Arabidopsis thaliana: one gene and its partner. The protein of the gene in region 1 interacts with the protein of each later gene in a pairwise test. Each region holds a gene or a part of one and is shown on either strand. Other genes may lie near its edges.

What was found. Proteins that work in one complex are often made in the same cells at the same time.
Region 2: the proteins of AT5G28900 (region 1) and PYL4 interact in binary tests that used the Arabidopsis thaliana proteins (3 or more experiments, as listed by UniProt).

What each region holds. Positions count from the first base shown.
Region 1 is NC_003076.8:10,922,199-10,932,143, forward strand, and holds AT5G28900 (Calcium-binding EF-hand family protein), read left to right. Parts: upstream 1-3,436; 5' UTR 3,437-3,653; coding exon 3,654-3,806; intron 3,807-4,552; coding exon 4,553-4,780; intron 4,781-4,870; coding exon 4,871-4,976; intron 4,977-5,058; coding exon 5,059-5,158; intron 5,159-5,273; coding exon 5,274-5,379; intron 5,380-5,465; coding exon 5,466-5,556; intron 5,557-6,350; coding exon 6,351-6,492; intron 6,493-6,583; coding exon 6,584-6,731; intron 6,732-6,860; coding exon 6,861-6,970; intron 6,971-7,053; coding exon 7,054-7,210; intron 7,211-7,342; coding exon 7,343-7,468; intron 7,469-7,550; coding exon 7,551-7,694; 3' UTR 7,695-7,704; intron 7,705-7,839; 3' UTR 7,840-8,264; downstream 8,265-9,945. Other genes in the region: AT5G28910 (alpha-(1,6)-fucosyltransferase), read right to left, coding at 8,435-9,318, 9,489-9,738, 9,817-9,945.
Region 2 is NC_003071.7:16,046,644-16,052,900, reverse strand, and holds PYL4 (PYR1-like 4), read right to left. Parts: upstream 2,984-6,257; 5' UTR 2,651-2,983; coding exon 2,027-2,650; 3' UTR 1,545-2,026; downstream 1-1,544. UniProt on the Arabidopsis thaliana protein: Receptor for abscisic acid (ABA) required for ABA-mediated responses such as stomatal closure and germination inhibition. Inhibits the activity of group-A protein phosphatases type 2C (PP2Cs) when activated by ABA. Can be activated by both (-)-ABA and (+)-ABA.

The DNA of each region.
Region 1 (9,945 bases):
ACCCATATATATATATTTATTGATGGATGGTTAACAATTTTAACAATATTTTGAAACTACTCTATGCAATGATTGGTAATATAAGAGTTGGATTTTATTATATTTAAAAATTCTCTGCAACAGCAACAGAGGAAAAACATGAAAGTAAAAAAAAACTACTTGAATTTATTTATTTTGAAGCTTTATGATAGTTCATTGGCTAAAACATTATTGGTGCTAATTTTAATGAAATGATAGTTGCTGACCAAAACTATTGTAATAATAATAATTTAAAAAAAAACAGTAGAAAATTATTATTGAATTATTGTTTTGTGTTTTGGTATTTTTGTGCTTTATCCTTCTATCAGCCTTTACTTTTTTAATATACCCTAAATTGGTCCGACACAAACAAAGACTTTTTATGCTTCAGCCTTCAAGTAGGGATTTGTTAATCGTCTATCGATCTATGTTCATATCTAATTTAATTTGCTTTACTGTTGTTTGACGAATTTTATCTCGTCGGATGGCTTTCGCAATTCTCCGTTGTTTCTTAGGATGATTAATCGTCAAATCTATTAGTTGGAACTAAGCCTTCTGTAAAAATAAAATATCATTCTGGGGCATCGGTGAATCAAATGATCAAAGGTTCCAGCTACTGTTGTCGGTACATTGAAAGGCATGCGTCTGGAATATCAAAGTCGACAATTCAACATGTATACATAGTATGTTAAGATTTAACAAAAAATTACATTCGAATATCTGTAAATTTCATTTTTCTTTTTCTGTTACAATTTAAAACATGCACCTAATGTATTATTATAGTTGTCCAAATTAAAAACAATTTAATTTGTTTTAAAAATTTGATTTGAAAAATGCTAAATAATATGTTTATATGACAAACAAATGGATTTTAACTACAACTACTAAGAAGTATAAAACACTCGGCCATATATATACGAAAACCAAACCAATATCTTCACTCTCTTTTATCAAAAAGCTTTTAACCTCAGCTGTTCAATAATTCACCAATCATGGTGACCAGAAACATCGCCTTTTATGGATTCCAATAAGAGGTCTATTATCTGAACGCACTTAGGGTTGTGCTCTCAGAGTTTATCTCGACTTTGATCTTCGTCTTCGCTGGCTCATGCTCCGGAATTGCTTTCAACAAGCTCACTAACAATGGAGCCACCACTCCTACCGGCCTCGTCGCCGCTGCCTTAGCTCATGCTTTAGGTCTCCTTGTTATTTGTTTCTGTTGTCGCTAACATTTCTGGTGGCCACGTTAACCCTGTCGTTACATTCGGTGTCTTTCTCAGTGTGTCAGAGGTAACATCATTCTCCTCAGTGGTATTTTCTACTTGATTGCTCAGCTTTTTGGCTCAGTCGCCGCGTATTTCCTCCTTATCTTTCCCACTGGTGACGAGGTAACATCACTTATTACACTTATTGCCTTACTAAACCAGGTTAGTATTGTTTTCAATTTGATTTTAGTTGTAATTTCGATTATTGGTTTTTTTCTTCTTCTCTATTTTCTTCACAGTTGTTATTAACCAAGAATAGTAAATATTTAAGATTCGTATAATACAATAATGTTTCTATTATATTTATAATTTCAAGCTGAGACTAATGTTAATATTTAGATATTTTAAATAGAAAATCATATGTTTAGTAAATATTTACCAGGTAATGGAAGATTTGTGTTGGCAAAACCAACCAAGTGAGCGTAATTGTAAACTTTAAACCCAATCGCCTATGTCTATAATCATAATAATTTAATATCTTTAATAACACCATACCAACATATATGAACTTCATACGTTAAAAAATAACTTGAAAGAATCACAATCGTTATAATTTACCGTTTATTTTTCTTCCTATCATTTTATAAAAAACAACTATATTTTCTAATTGATCGACACACATTTCACCAGCTAAATTTGTTATGAAATCAACATGTTAGAGGATTTGTTACAAATTTAAGGTTAATAGTGCTCAAGAAAATATTTAAAAATATAGAAAGAGTGATGGTTGAAGTTCTTACTTATGATAGGTTCATATGTTGAATTAATTACTAATTATATTTTACTTATTTTAATAAGTCTAGGTGGCAAGCTCTCATGTGCTGATGTGTCAAGTTGTGGGAGAGAGTTGAGCTCCTTTCATATATATAATTTACGTTATATTTTGCCTCTTAAGTTTTGTAGTGACCATCATAATTTCTCTTTTGATGTCTTTGTGGGCAAATGAGGTAATCTAGAAAGAAATTACATGGATGAAGATGATATAGAACATACGAGATCTGATGAATGACAGATTACTATAGTTTTTCTTTTCCCTAGTTAATGTTGTTAATAAGGGGATAATTTTGCTAAATTTGGTAAAAGTACATGAATTATATATGATATGTGATTTAGTCAAGAAAAATTATGTGAACCTGATTAGATTTTACCATGTCTCAGGTTTTCAAGAATGCAATTTTTATTTCCATGGACTAGTTGAAATAGTTACCTATAAAATATCTTATGACATAAATCGATCTAGATATGATCTACATACAATTAGAACGCTTAAACGTGGAAACTTAATTGATGATATGCTTTATGGTGATCAAGAAGAAGATATCAACAAAGTGTTGAGATACTAACAAAAATAGTTTTTTTTTCTTGTTGTTATAAATATTGAGTCAGACTTTAAGTTACACGTATTTGCAAACTATAGTTTTGTGTTAGTTTTTTTGATATCAACACATTTCTATTTATTTGGCAACAAAATACTTTTCATAAGAGCATTTCTATGTCATATATTATAATTTATGTGATAAAGATAAAGATCACGATTTCCCGATTGACAAAGAAAATCTTATGAAATATGGAAAACATGATATGAAACACATCATATGTTTCTCATTCGTCAAGTATTTTTTATATGATATATAAAACTTTCTTTCTTTCTAGAATCCATGGCTCTTGTATAAGGTAGATTGTCTAACTCGTTACTCTAGATAGTATATTATATGAAATTTGTTTCGTAAATATTTTTCCTTAAGATTGGACTACCAATTATGAAGTAATATTTTAACTAATGTGTGGTTGACAAAATATAGAAAAAATCAAGAATCCAACCACATGTTGAGAAAAAAAATTTCTACTTCAAATACACTTACTTATTTTTATTATTTAGTCAACGAAATATTAATTTATTTATGGACATATTTTTAAAAATACCATAAAATTAATTTTTGTTATAAAACATTATTAGTAGTTTATATTTTTTTGAAAGTACCACTAAAATATATTATTTTCTGAAAATACCACAAAATTACTTTTAAAGTTTTCAAAACTAGATCCTAAACTCTAAAAAATAAACCCTAAACCCCAAAAAACTTAACTCAAACCCAAACATTTAATAAATTATAAACCCTTAAAATCAACTTTTTGTGTTTCAAGTATTTTTTGGGTATCTCTCTAATTTATTTATTTATTTCAGATTGCTCAAAAGAATAAATAAATAAAAGAATTTGGCTGTCTCATTTCCTTGTTCGGAATCGGAGAAGAAGGAAGACTAGATTCGATGTGTTGGTGAAGAAGATCTCGACTTTGTTCAAAATTCCAATTTCGCTCGCCTCAAAGATCATTCTCTCATCTTCTCGACTTTGATGCGATTGATTAAATATGGTGGATACGGTTATTCCCGGAGATATGGCTTGTTTGGATGCAGATTTGTTGCAGCTTCAGGAAATGTCTTCCTTTGTTCTCAATTCTAAACCTGGATTCACTCAGAAGCTCTTCGACCAGTGGCTTTCTCTTCCCGAAGCTCAGCGACAGGTTTCTGCTTTTTCACTATTCTTACACTCATGCTTCTTAGCTTACTCTCTGTTAGTTCGAATCTTTCTTTCGTAATGTTACAATGATACTTCGGTTGCTTACTTACTCTGTGGTGTTGAGGATTGGTGTAAAGTTTGAATCTTTCTTTGATACTGTTAGTGGGTATTACAGTGATGCCTTAGGTGGTTACTGATATTTGGTTGCTTAATTACTCTCTGGTTTCTGTTGAGGATTGGTGTAAAGTTGGGATCTTTGATAGTGTTAGTTATTACAATGATGCTTAGCTTACTGAGAATGGTGTAAAGTTCGAATATTTCTCTGATTGTGTTAGTGAGTATTATAATGATGCCTTAGGTGGTTACTTAGATTCGGTTGCTTAATTACTCTGTGGTGTAAAGTTCGTATCTTTCTTTGATAGTGTTGGTGAGTGTTACATTGATGCTTAGGTTACTGAGATTTACTCTGTGGTGTTGAAAGATTGGTGTAAAGTTTGAATCATTTTTTGATTCTGTGAGTTATGACGTATATTCTTATTTTCTTATGTGAGTATTACAATGAAGCTTACGTTAATGAGATTTGTTTGCTAAATTACTCTGTGGTGTTGAAGATTGGTGTAAAGTTTGAATCTTTCTTGGATTGTGTGAGTTATGACAATGATGCCTTAGGTGGTTAATGAGATTTGGTTGCTTAATTACTCTCTATTCACTGGAATCTCTAGTCTAATCTTTTTCTCGTTGGTTTTCTAGGTTGGATCATTGCTTAAGGATGCTGTAGCTGGAGCTCCTATCAATGTTACTGGAAGTGCATCGGGTTCTAATTCTGCCACTATACCATCTATGTTTCCTGCGGGAAGTGCTCCTCCGCTTTCACCAAGGAGTTGTGGTTCACCCCGTACAACCAAACAGAGAGCCCCTTCTAACTTAGGTTCTACTCTCAAAGTAGTCAACGAGCCTGTTAAAGAGCCTATACCTCAGGTTTCTTTTCCTCTTTTTCTTCCTTCTTTATATATATATAGTAATGGAATGGAGTTAACTCACTGATTTCTTAACTTGAAATGATTCTAGTTTTATTTCCAAAATGGTCGCCCTCCACCAAGCGAGATTAAAGAGCAATGTATGTTTAGAATCAATCACTTCTTTTATGGTCACATGGATGGCTTGCAGATACAAGGTTAGAAGTCAGTCATTTGTTTTCTACTAATTATATTTGAACTGTTTATTAACTTTTTTCTCCATTTTCAATCAATACTCAGAATTCAAGTTAGTCACCAGAGAAATCTGCAAGCTCCCATCTTTCTTCTCCACTTCCCTTTTCCGGAAGATCGATCTCAACAATACAGGTTTTGTTACTAGGTGTGTGCCGCTTCTTCTATGCTTTTTTTTTTTTTGTATGGTGCTTCCTCTTCATGTCTGCATAGTTTACTGAAACACCACCCAGTATAACAGTTTTTCGTGTTTGTTTCTACAGAGATGCATTTATTGATTTTTGGGTAAACGGGAACATGTTGATAATGGATACAACGACCCAAATCTTCAAGATACTAAAGCAGAAAGATCAGAGTTTCATTGTTAAGGTTATTTTCTTTTAAGATTTGCATATTCAGTCAGTCATGAGAGCGAGTTTATTATATTCCAGATTCTTTTCTTTTTTTCATGGCAGGATGATTTCAAACCACTACTCAAAGAACTGTTGGCGACGCATCCTGGGCTAGAGTTCCTGCAATCCACACCTGAATTCCAAGAAAGATATGGTTAGGTCTCAACTTTATTTACATTTTTAGTATCCTAAGTTATCTCATGTTTTCTTTTTCCGCTTGGTATTGCTTGAGTAATGGTGTTTAGTAATTGAGTTTGGTTGTGCATTTTATTCTTTGAAGTATATTGGTAGCTACAGCCCTAGTTGAGAAGAATGAGTGAATAAGTTTGCCACTTTGGTATGATGTACTTATCTAAATCTGTCAGATGGTTACCAGATCAATAGTATTTCTTCTTGATATTGCTTGAGTAATGGTGTTTAGTAATTGAGTTTGATTGTACATTTTATTCTTCGAAGTATATTGGTAGCTACAGCCCTAGTTGAGAAGAATGAGTGAATAAGTTTGCCATGTACTTATCTAAATCTGTCGAATGGTTACCACATCAATAATATTTCTAGTGAAATAAATAATTTTGATAATTGATGCATCGAGATACAGTAATAAATGTGGCATTACTCTGTATGGATTTTAAAATTTTTATAAGATACGGTTTCTTTGTTTTGTTGTGTTAGACATCATCTTATAACTTGCAAATCCATAAAGCTTTCAAGCACGGAATGAATCATCTTCAGTCTATGAATCCTGCAGATATAATCAATATCAGAAAAAATAAATTCTGGAGCTTGTTTATGAATCATGCGTCAGTTAGTAATGAATTCCCGAGAACACTTTGATTGCTTTCTAGATATCTGGAGTCCATATTCTTTGGTATTTGCTGCTACCGGTATCAAAGCTAAATTTTTAAGGATGCTTTTCTGTCTGATACAATTTGTATTTTGCTGAAACAGCTGAAACTGTCACCTACCGAATATTTTATTACATAAATAGATCTGGCAATGGTCGAATTACATTTAGGGAGCTTAAACGGGGAAACTTAATTGATGCTATGCTACATGCTGATGAAGAAGAAGATATTAACAAAGTGTTGAGGTACTGACAAAAATATTTGCGTGCTATTGTTGTATTTATAGTATTGTTTTTGCTCATTTAACATCACTTTTCTATTCACTTTGGCAATTAGATACTTCTCGTATGAGCATTTCTATGTCATATACTGCAAGTTCTGGGAGCTGGATACGGATCACGATTTCCTGATTGACAAAGAAAATCTTATGCGATATGGAAACCATGCTCTTACCTACCGGATTGTCGACAGAATATTCTCCCAGGTTCTGTCTAAAAAACCTTGCTCTTTAATGCCTACTACTTGAAGATTTTATTTATATTGCTTCTATTTTAAGAGTTCTTTCCTCGTTCAAAGTTATTATTGCTCTTAAGATGCATTGGTTTCTTCTCAGGTTGCTAGGAAGTTCACTAACAAAGTTGAAGGGAAGATGGGGTATGAGGACTTTGTCTATTTCATTCTTGCGGAAGAAGATAAATCGTCAGTGCCTAGCCTAGAATATTGGTAAGTTGTGATAGAAGGGTCCGAAAGTTGCAGACAGATACCATTTTAAGTCTTTTATCTGACACAAGTATACGTTGGACTAGGTTTAAGTGCATAGACTTGGATGCAAATGGGATTATTACGCGAAATGAGATGCAATTCTTTTATGAAGAGCAGTTGCATAGAATGGAGTGCATGGCGCAAGAGGCTGTTCTTTTCGAGGATATCTTATGTCAGATGATTGATATGATCGGACCTGAGGTTCAACAATATATCTCTTGTTTTCTTCTTTCTATATTTAGTATAGTCACAGAAGTAGTTTGTGTTCCCAGTTTTCTTTCTGAGTCTTGTGATTTTGTTTTGTGTTTGATTGTTTTTTATTTCCTTCCACAGAACGAAAGCCATATAACGCTGCATGACCTGAAAGGCTCAAAGCTCTCTGGAAACGTCTTCAACATCCTATTTAATCTCAACAAATTTATGGCATTTGAAACCCGGGATCCATTCCTCATTCGTCAGGTACTAATCATCTAATTTACCTTGCTACTTCTTCACACCACCACATGCGTCTTATAACATTTCTAATGTCAAACGGAAACAGGAGCGAGAGAACCCTACATTGACAGATTGGGACCGTTTTGCACATAGAGAGTATATTAGGCTATCAATGGAAGAAGATGTTGAAGATGCATCTAATGGAAGTGCTGAGGTTTGGGATGAGTCGTCGCTGGAGGCTCCCTTTTGAGTTCATAAAGGTAAGTCAACGGAAAACCGTAGTGTCTAGAAGATAAAACTAGTGGAAAAGGATTAGAAAAAAAAGAAACTGAAAAAACTTTGATGTTGATGCTTGTGCAAATGTTATTATTTCATAATATAACTTAATCATGCAGAAGAGAAATGTAAAGTCCCTGAGAAGAACATTTGGAGCTTTGTTGAGGAAGGAAAGTGAAAAACAAACGAAAAGCCGGTAGTATCCTCTGTTGAATACCATACTTAGCTTGGATTTGTTTTCTAACTTCTCTTTATTTGTTAGCTGATTCTACAGTTATATTTATTAACAATCGTCTAGATTTTACAGTCTTCTTCACCTGTATTGCATTCACTTTGCTCTGATGTTTCTATCTCTGGGTGTTACTTCATCATCTCCAGATGTTGAGACTTGTGAATTTCAATGCTATAGTTCCTTTAATTTTTGGTTGGTTCCTGAAGACACAGGATGTCACTGAGATGAGAAGAGGTTGGTTGTGTTATTACTATTGATCTTGAAGTGATGTCTTTTTATTTGTGAAATTCTTAAGGAAAAGCCACTTTGCTCTGTTCAGTTGATCTTCAAATCTTCACATCGGAATCGGTTTAGTTGGTTTGCGGTTGCTCTGAACTGTTTGTCAACCAAACCTCCCTTTATTATACTGAAAACTCTTTGTGCAACAGATGAAGAAAAAAGGAGAGGAGTCTTATTATGTACATAGTGTGGAACTCGCAAAGTTACCAGAACCGATCTTTATTGACACTGAGATAACCAGACATGACTTTCCCACCCGTATTCCTCATACCATCGATGAGGAAACACCAAGTGGAACCCAATGCTCCGACGAAGAAATCAGCTTCTGACGCCATTAAGAAGTTAACCAGAGGATAGTTTGTGCTCATCTCTCTCCCGAGGCTCGCTTCATACTCAGCCATCGACTTATTACCGACTTGTCTTGCCACTTCCGTGTAATAGAATCTCCAGTGAGCATAATCTTTACTTCTGTCCACCACTTCCTTCATCTCTGTAGAGAGCCAGATCCTGTTGAGCTCTGGAAACCGATCTCTGATCCGATCAGCTAAATGCATGTACTCTTCTAAAGCTGCGACTCTCATCTCGCATGCTTTGTCTCCCATCCGTACGTGAACACTCAGCATTGGCCTTGGAAGCCACGGCTTGTGATCCGACCACACCTGTTCCTCAATCTCTGTCCTCATCTTCTTATTCTTCTTTCTCCAATCTCCAGCTGAAAGAACAATCTTGGCAGCTTCTTTTCCAAACGCGGAATTTCGAGCAATGTTCATCAAACCGCAAGTGTATTCTGTTTGATATCTCATCAAGTATCTCACTGCTTGTGCTCTCCACCATCTCCGATCCATTTTCCGATGATTGGAGATTAAACTTCCGTTGATTTCTGTAGTTGGCTTCATATAACTCCAAGGCTTACCCCATTGCTTTGGTATAGCCCCAGCCCAAATCTCCTTTGTGCTATAATTTTGTTTCCCTGTAACAATCCCACTCTCCCACGCTTCTCTCTTCTTCACAATCGCAAAGGCTCGTTTTCGACACTCTTCTGACGTTTCCTGTAGAAAATAGCAAGACCAGTTTCCACGAAAAGAACCTGCATCAAAACAAAAGAGAAACACCAAATCAAATCCAAAGTTTGGTTCTTATATACACTTTTCAGCGTCTAAAACATCTTGATAAGAAGATTAACCAAGAAGATGTAATTTGTGATAGTTGCTGCTATATGTTAGAGTGAAGACTCAAAGGATTAAAGCCTTTATGTACCTTTGCAACCATCATGATCTGCTCGGTTGTAGTAATTTGCAACAAGCACTCGGTTTTCATTTATAGCTATCGCGAGTAGACCAGTCATTCCAGCTATCTGAGCTCCTATTCCAAAACCAGGAAGTGTTTCCCAATCAGCTACAAGGAACTTGAGACTCTTGTTTCCGCAATCCAAAGGATGCTGATGAATCCATATATCTCTTTGCACTCTCCTCGTTAACGGATAATTCTCTTCATCTCCTCCACTGATCTAAAACACAAGCTTTTGATTGTTCATTCACCATACTAATTGCTTGATGACAAAGAACAAGAAAAAGAAGAAGCATACCCAAGGAGGAAGTGTCCAGTTCGCCAAACGTGTATCCAAACGCTCCCTAACTCGAGCCTTCTCCTCACAATTCTCCAAATGTGGACCATTTGGTACATCGGATTTGTTAATACCTACCTTCTTCAAGAA
Region 2 (6,257 bases), on another chromosome or scaffold:
ACATGCTGCAATCGGTATTTTAAAAGTCCTATAACACGGATGACTCAACTCCATGATACAAAAAAGCCATGTATTAAAAAGGCTATTGGAAAGATTCTTAAACAATTCGTCAATACTTATGGCCTTGGACCTTCCAGATGATATTTATAACAGAAAATAAAAAGAATTATGAATTAGTACAAATGATAAATTACCTTAACCCGACCCCAACTACAATTATGGCCATACGCCGATGTAGGTGGTTCGGTCTAGAAGCATCACATGAAGCCTCTTTATATAACAAGAAGCGATATACTAATATGTGGCAACTTGTGAATTATATTCATATACACTTATATTCGATTTTTATTTTTATTTTCCTTTTCTCCAACGATCGGAAATTTGGGCAGAGGTCCAATCAAATTATAGGAAACAGTGGCGTGATGGATCGCAAAGGCACATATACTTTCATTTTTATGTTTTGAGAAATAAGAAAATTCATCAATTTGTAAATCACAATTAATATGTTTTGCCCAACTTGCAAAAAAATCGCAGCTACCCCACTTCCACTTGCACCGCCAACTCTTTCCCATCCCTTTTTTTTGTTTTTACACCTTTCGTGGCCACATTAAGTATGTATCTTATGAAGTTATGATTAGTAAAGCTATGCTATATTTGTCGATATTTGACGACCACAAAAATTAGTAATTGAAAGTTATAACATTTTGTGTATTTTTATGCTATTCCTATTATCGACTGAAAATTTTGTAGTGATGATGGTTACGTAACCATAGTGGTGAACCTCGATAATGATATTGCAAACATAGAAGTAGAAGGTTTTAGATCTAAGGAAAATGAAATCTTTCATTTCATACGATTCATGTTTTGTCGATCAATCACATATCTTTTTGTGGATAGAAGTGTAGAAACCTCTCGAATATATTGAAAAAAACACATTTATATAATTATATTCTAAGAGATCACTTGGAAACGAAACATATCGTGACTCTCGTGATGTAAAAGGACATGCAACTTGCGCTTCTCTCTATTCCATATTTCTTTATTATTATACGAAATTTAATATTATATCTTTTGGATTGGGAAGAACCATAAAGAAAGGAAGTAAAAGATAAAAAAAATTGCAACTTGCATTTTCTTTATATCAAGCGGGAAAAAAAAAGAAGAAGAGAACAGCTTGGCTTGTTGGGTTATCATTCAAAGCATCGTCCACTTGCAAATTTTTATTTCTTTAAATTCATCAACATGTTCGTTTTTTATTTTTTATATTTTGACGGCCATGTTCATATTTTTGTATACATGTATGTTTTGTCCATTTTACGCAATTACCTTTAAGCCTGAAAATCCCCAACTACTCCCTATTTTCTACCAAATAGTTTATGATGACAAATAAAAACTTCAAATCTTGAATTCTCTATCAAATGTTTGATTTTTAAATAACAACTTCACGCTCAATCGGTTATTTTAATTATTATGAAATAATAAGAAAGTAAAAAGTTTGAGGACCTAGTTAAATCATAGAGGAAAGGAACACATTATATTATGCCCAAATTTAAAGTTGCCTTTAAGAAAAATCGTCGAATTTCACAAAAGCTGTTTATACGTACGTAAATTTATCTACACACATTAGATGGCCAACAACTCAATGTAACGAGTTAATATACATCCGAGTCGAACATCATATTGTACCATTTCATTTACGCTTTTTCTGATGAAACTATAGAAAAACAAGATTAATTAAACTTGAAAATCACACTTTTAATTAGCGGACAACACAACCACATTCTTTCAGTTTGAATATTATTATCTTTGGGTGGTGAAAGCCGGAATAGGGCTATCCAAATCGGTTCTTTATGGGATATGTAAAATACAAAAATTAAAAGAAGGATTATGATATGCATGAGAGATTAATTCACTAATGTAACTTTTTTTTCACACATAAGCCGAAAAAACATAGATCACACGACGGCTAAAAATCTAGAAAACGACGTCGGATCTAACGAAACTACCCGACAACGACAAAGACTCATCACAGAGACATCTTCTTCTTGCTCTCAGCCGCAGTATTCTCGGCTATTTTCGCAAGAGATTGAAGATTGCATCGTACGATAACGTCAACGAAGTCACAAGTCTCTTCCTTTGTGTTGCCTGGAGGAACATCAACGACGTAAGACTCGACAACGACGGTCCCGGAGATCGGAGAAGGGTGAAGGGTCGTTACGGATCGGTAGTTAGAGAGCCGGTGGTCACCACCAACAACGCTGAAGCTGATGACGTGGCGTTCGTCGTCGAGGATATCGAGTCTCTCGGTGGAGCTAGCGGCGGGGAGACCAGAGACGACGTGGACTTGACGGAGGCTACCAACGTTATCGCCGTCTCCGCCGATGACGCTACAGCTTTTGAGAAAGTGTTTGTAAGCTTGTGGGTTATCAAAGCGGCGTACGACGGACCAAACGGTGGAGATTGGAGCGGAGATCTCTTGAATAACGGCGGAGCAACACTGATTAGGACCAACCTCGTGTGTGTGAAAACGAGCGGCCGTGGAGTCGCGTGAGAGAGAAGGAAAACGTTTTTGAAACGACGCGATCATCATCGGAATCTGAACGGAATCTCCGTCTGATACGGCGGAAGAAGGACGGTGAACGGCAAGCATGTTGATCTGAGTAATGGTGTCTTCTTGATTTCAAATCTTGATCTCTTCTTTGAGATGGTATTAGGGCTTAGAAAAAAAACTGAGGATTGAAGAGGAAAGTGTATGGAGGAGAAGTATGTGTGTATATAAAAAGAAGCAAATCAAACTTTACAGCGACTTGCGAAAAGTTGGGCTGTGCCTTTCGATTTGAGAGAGATAGAGTTTTTAATGCAGAGTTCATGTGAGTGGTGATAACGAAAAAACCGAGCAAGTTGCTTGTTGTGAAATTACGGTTTTGCCCCTTGCTATAGTTGTTGACTTGACTGTTTTCTATACACGATATTTTTAATTGGGCAAGTGACCAATATATAATTCTCGTATATCAACACTAGAATTATAATATGGGTTTAGACTTTTAGTTTCTTGACCATAACTTTTTTCTCTTCTTCTTGAAATGACCAAGGTATATCTAGGACGAGATTCGTTTGATTGAATACGCTTTAAGAGTTTCGATATTTGGAACGATTGGAATGTAAGATCAAATTCATCAAAACATACAAAGTGAGAATTCTTTCAACTTAGAAGTTCTTCAATTGTTATTTCATAGTATGGCTAGATATATGAGTTTTCAATTGCATATATCTAGCCATACTATATATATGAGTTTTCAATTGCAAAAAAAAAAAAGGTTTTCAATTGCATCAGATGCAAATCTAGATATTTGAAGTATTCAACATCAGAGCCGAATACCACAAAACTAAAAGTGGTACAACCATATATTTAATTACCTGAGAGATTTGATGAACAAGCAGAAGGAGGAACTTTTTGAATGAAAAGTATTGTATTGCTTTTGCTTTGATATGATCTTCAATATACAAAAAAAGGAGCACACAAACAAAAGGGCATGAAAAACCAATCCTCACTAAGAAACACATTTTAAACTATACAAACTAAGGCCCAAATTGTTTTTAGAACCAAACTTTTAATTGGGCCGTATTTTGGAAAGAAAAACTGGTCTATCACAACATACTTTTGTTGTTTGGTTTGGTTACGTTGGCTATAGTATCTAGCTTCGTTATAGGTTGTCTCTTCTTCTACATTGTAACTAGTATTATAGATTTCTATTATTCTCTAGGATATTAGAGTTTACCTAAAGATGTGGAGTTGGCTGATCAGACACAACAAAACGTTCGAAGATATATTTTTGTTGCCGTCGAGGAATTCAATTTCGAGGTTGGGGAAGAATGTGTCGTCTGCCTTGAAGAATATAGCGAGTCTAGACATCCATTGGCCAAGTTGGAATGCCGTCACCGGTTCCATTTTAGCTGCATAATAATATAAACACAAAACATTTACTTGATGCTCTGTTTTCAAGCATTCTGTCTTGTTTCTTTACATTCATAACTCTGGGTTTTCAAACCTTTAACAACTCCGGACATGGACACAAACCCCATCTTAATGATAAGTCATAATACAATGCTATTAGTTCTTTATAATTGCTGTAAATTTTGAATATAAATTTTTTTGATAAGAATAGATTAATATTGTGTATTGAGCTTCACACACATCTTAATATATAAAGCAAAATTAATTCAGTTTTTGTTAACTTAAAATTATCATAAAAATCAAAAACTCGCACAAAGGACGGGTTCTAATATAGTTGATATATATGTTTTACATCTTTTCTTGCTAACATTCTACTAATATCTATATATCTACATAAAAGTACTAGAGAGAATTACCTGCAAGTGAGATTTGAGATATACACAGATGAGTGTATAATATGGTCAGCGGGTCAGGATATGTAACTTTTGTTTGATTATGGGTTTGAAAATGTGCAAATAGACAGACATTACTTCAACTAATTGAGAATAATGTTGGATCCGTATTTGTAGGAATAAAAAATAACTGTTAATTAGAGGTTGACTTCACAGTTCACAAGTCGGGTTCGGGTGTACAAGAATCTTGTCAGGTCACACCTAACTCTTATGATCGTCTCTTAGTTTTTTTTTTCTTTTTTTTTCACAGGCTTAATGGACCCTTTTGTCTAATTTGATGGCATATCTCACAAACCATCCAGTTCCATGTTTTTATAAACATGCTTTTTAAACCTTTAAAATGAAGGACACAAATTAGGATTCTCGGTGCAAAATTGCATGTGGACGTGTAGAAGCAGAAGGAAGATGGAAATTAAGTGTAAAGAAGAAAGGAGTGGTGACGAGAAGCTTGTGAAGGATCGATGGCAAGTCTCTTTACACGTGGGGGGAATGACAAAGTTCTTCTTTTTTCTACTTCATCAAAGCTTACAATTTCCTCTCCTCAACAACTTTTTTTGTTTTTTTTGGTAGGGAACAACTTTTTTTGTTTGGCTAGCAGAATTTTATTTACTAACTGGAAAATATGAACTTAAGCCTATAGTTTAATCTCATGAACTCATAATCTCCATTTAATTCTGCAACGAAGTTTTATTGGATGGCATGTACCCGAATCTATAGTAGATATATACAACTGGAAAACAGTATTGTATATTGTTTTCGTGATGCACCAAAAACTTATGATTGAAATTTACGTAGAAATAAAACAGTACAATTTGTTAGACATGTTAATAGAACTGATCTTGTGAGTGCTCATATTTCTTGGAATTCCAAGAGGACTTCGAAAGCATAATTGGATCTAAAATATATTATATCATAAGCATATATACGTGAGAATGTATTTATCTTATTGTTTTCATAATAGAAGTGGTAAAGGTAAATATTCAAACTAATTGTCGAAATATGCGGAAGAGGTAGTATTCAATGGCTTACGATGACTAAAATCGTAATTACAAAAATCACCATAAACTCGTCTAAAAAGACTTTCTTTGCAATTAAAATTAAACCATATAGGACTTCGATTTATACGGTGTCAAATTTTATAACTATGTATGTTAATATTACATATTTTTGGAACGAACGATGTAAAAAAACGGCTCAACTAACAACGCTATTCATCGCTTCACGGGGTCGGATGTGTAACGTAAACCAAGCAAGGACCACTTTACACATAAACTAATTCTCTCATACGAATCTACAAAAATACATATAAAGATAATATATAATTTTGGGGTAAGAGAGGAGCATTGTCCCGTGATTCTCGTCGAACAAAAAACAGAAAAAGAAAGAAAGAAAGAGGTATGTGTGATGATGTGGTCTACATCAAAGACAGCTGAGCAGTCACACGCCTTGTAATCGTAATTTATTCGTCTATCTACCACTCTCGCTCTTCCATTTTTTGCCTTTAGCATTCAATTCCACGCAAAACCCTAAACCTCATAATCTCATCAAAAAGTTTTAAAGATAAATATATATGAATCTACCCATTAATCAATATATTAGTTAGTATTGTGATTTATCACTTTCTAAATACTAAAAAGTACTCAGAAGATTAGAAGGTTGATTTTAAAAATAAATTTTCTAACTAATTTGATCGCTATATCAATAGAAATGAGAGGATTTAAAATCCATCAAGTATAGTTCACTTCGATAAATTAATATTTTGTATAAATTGATTCATGTCACGTACTGGATCTTTTAAATCGTTGAGGATCAAAAATTATTTTGCAACAAAAAGAAAAACAGAAGGAAAA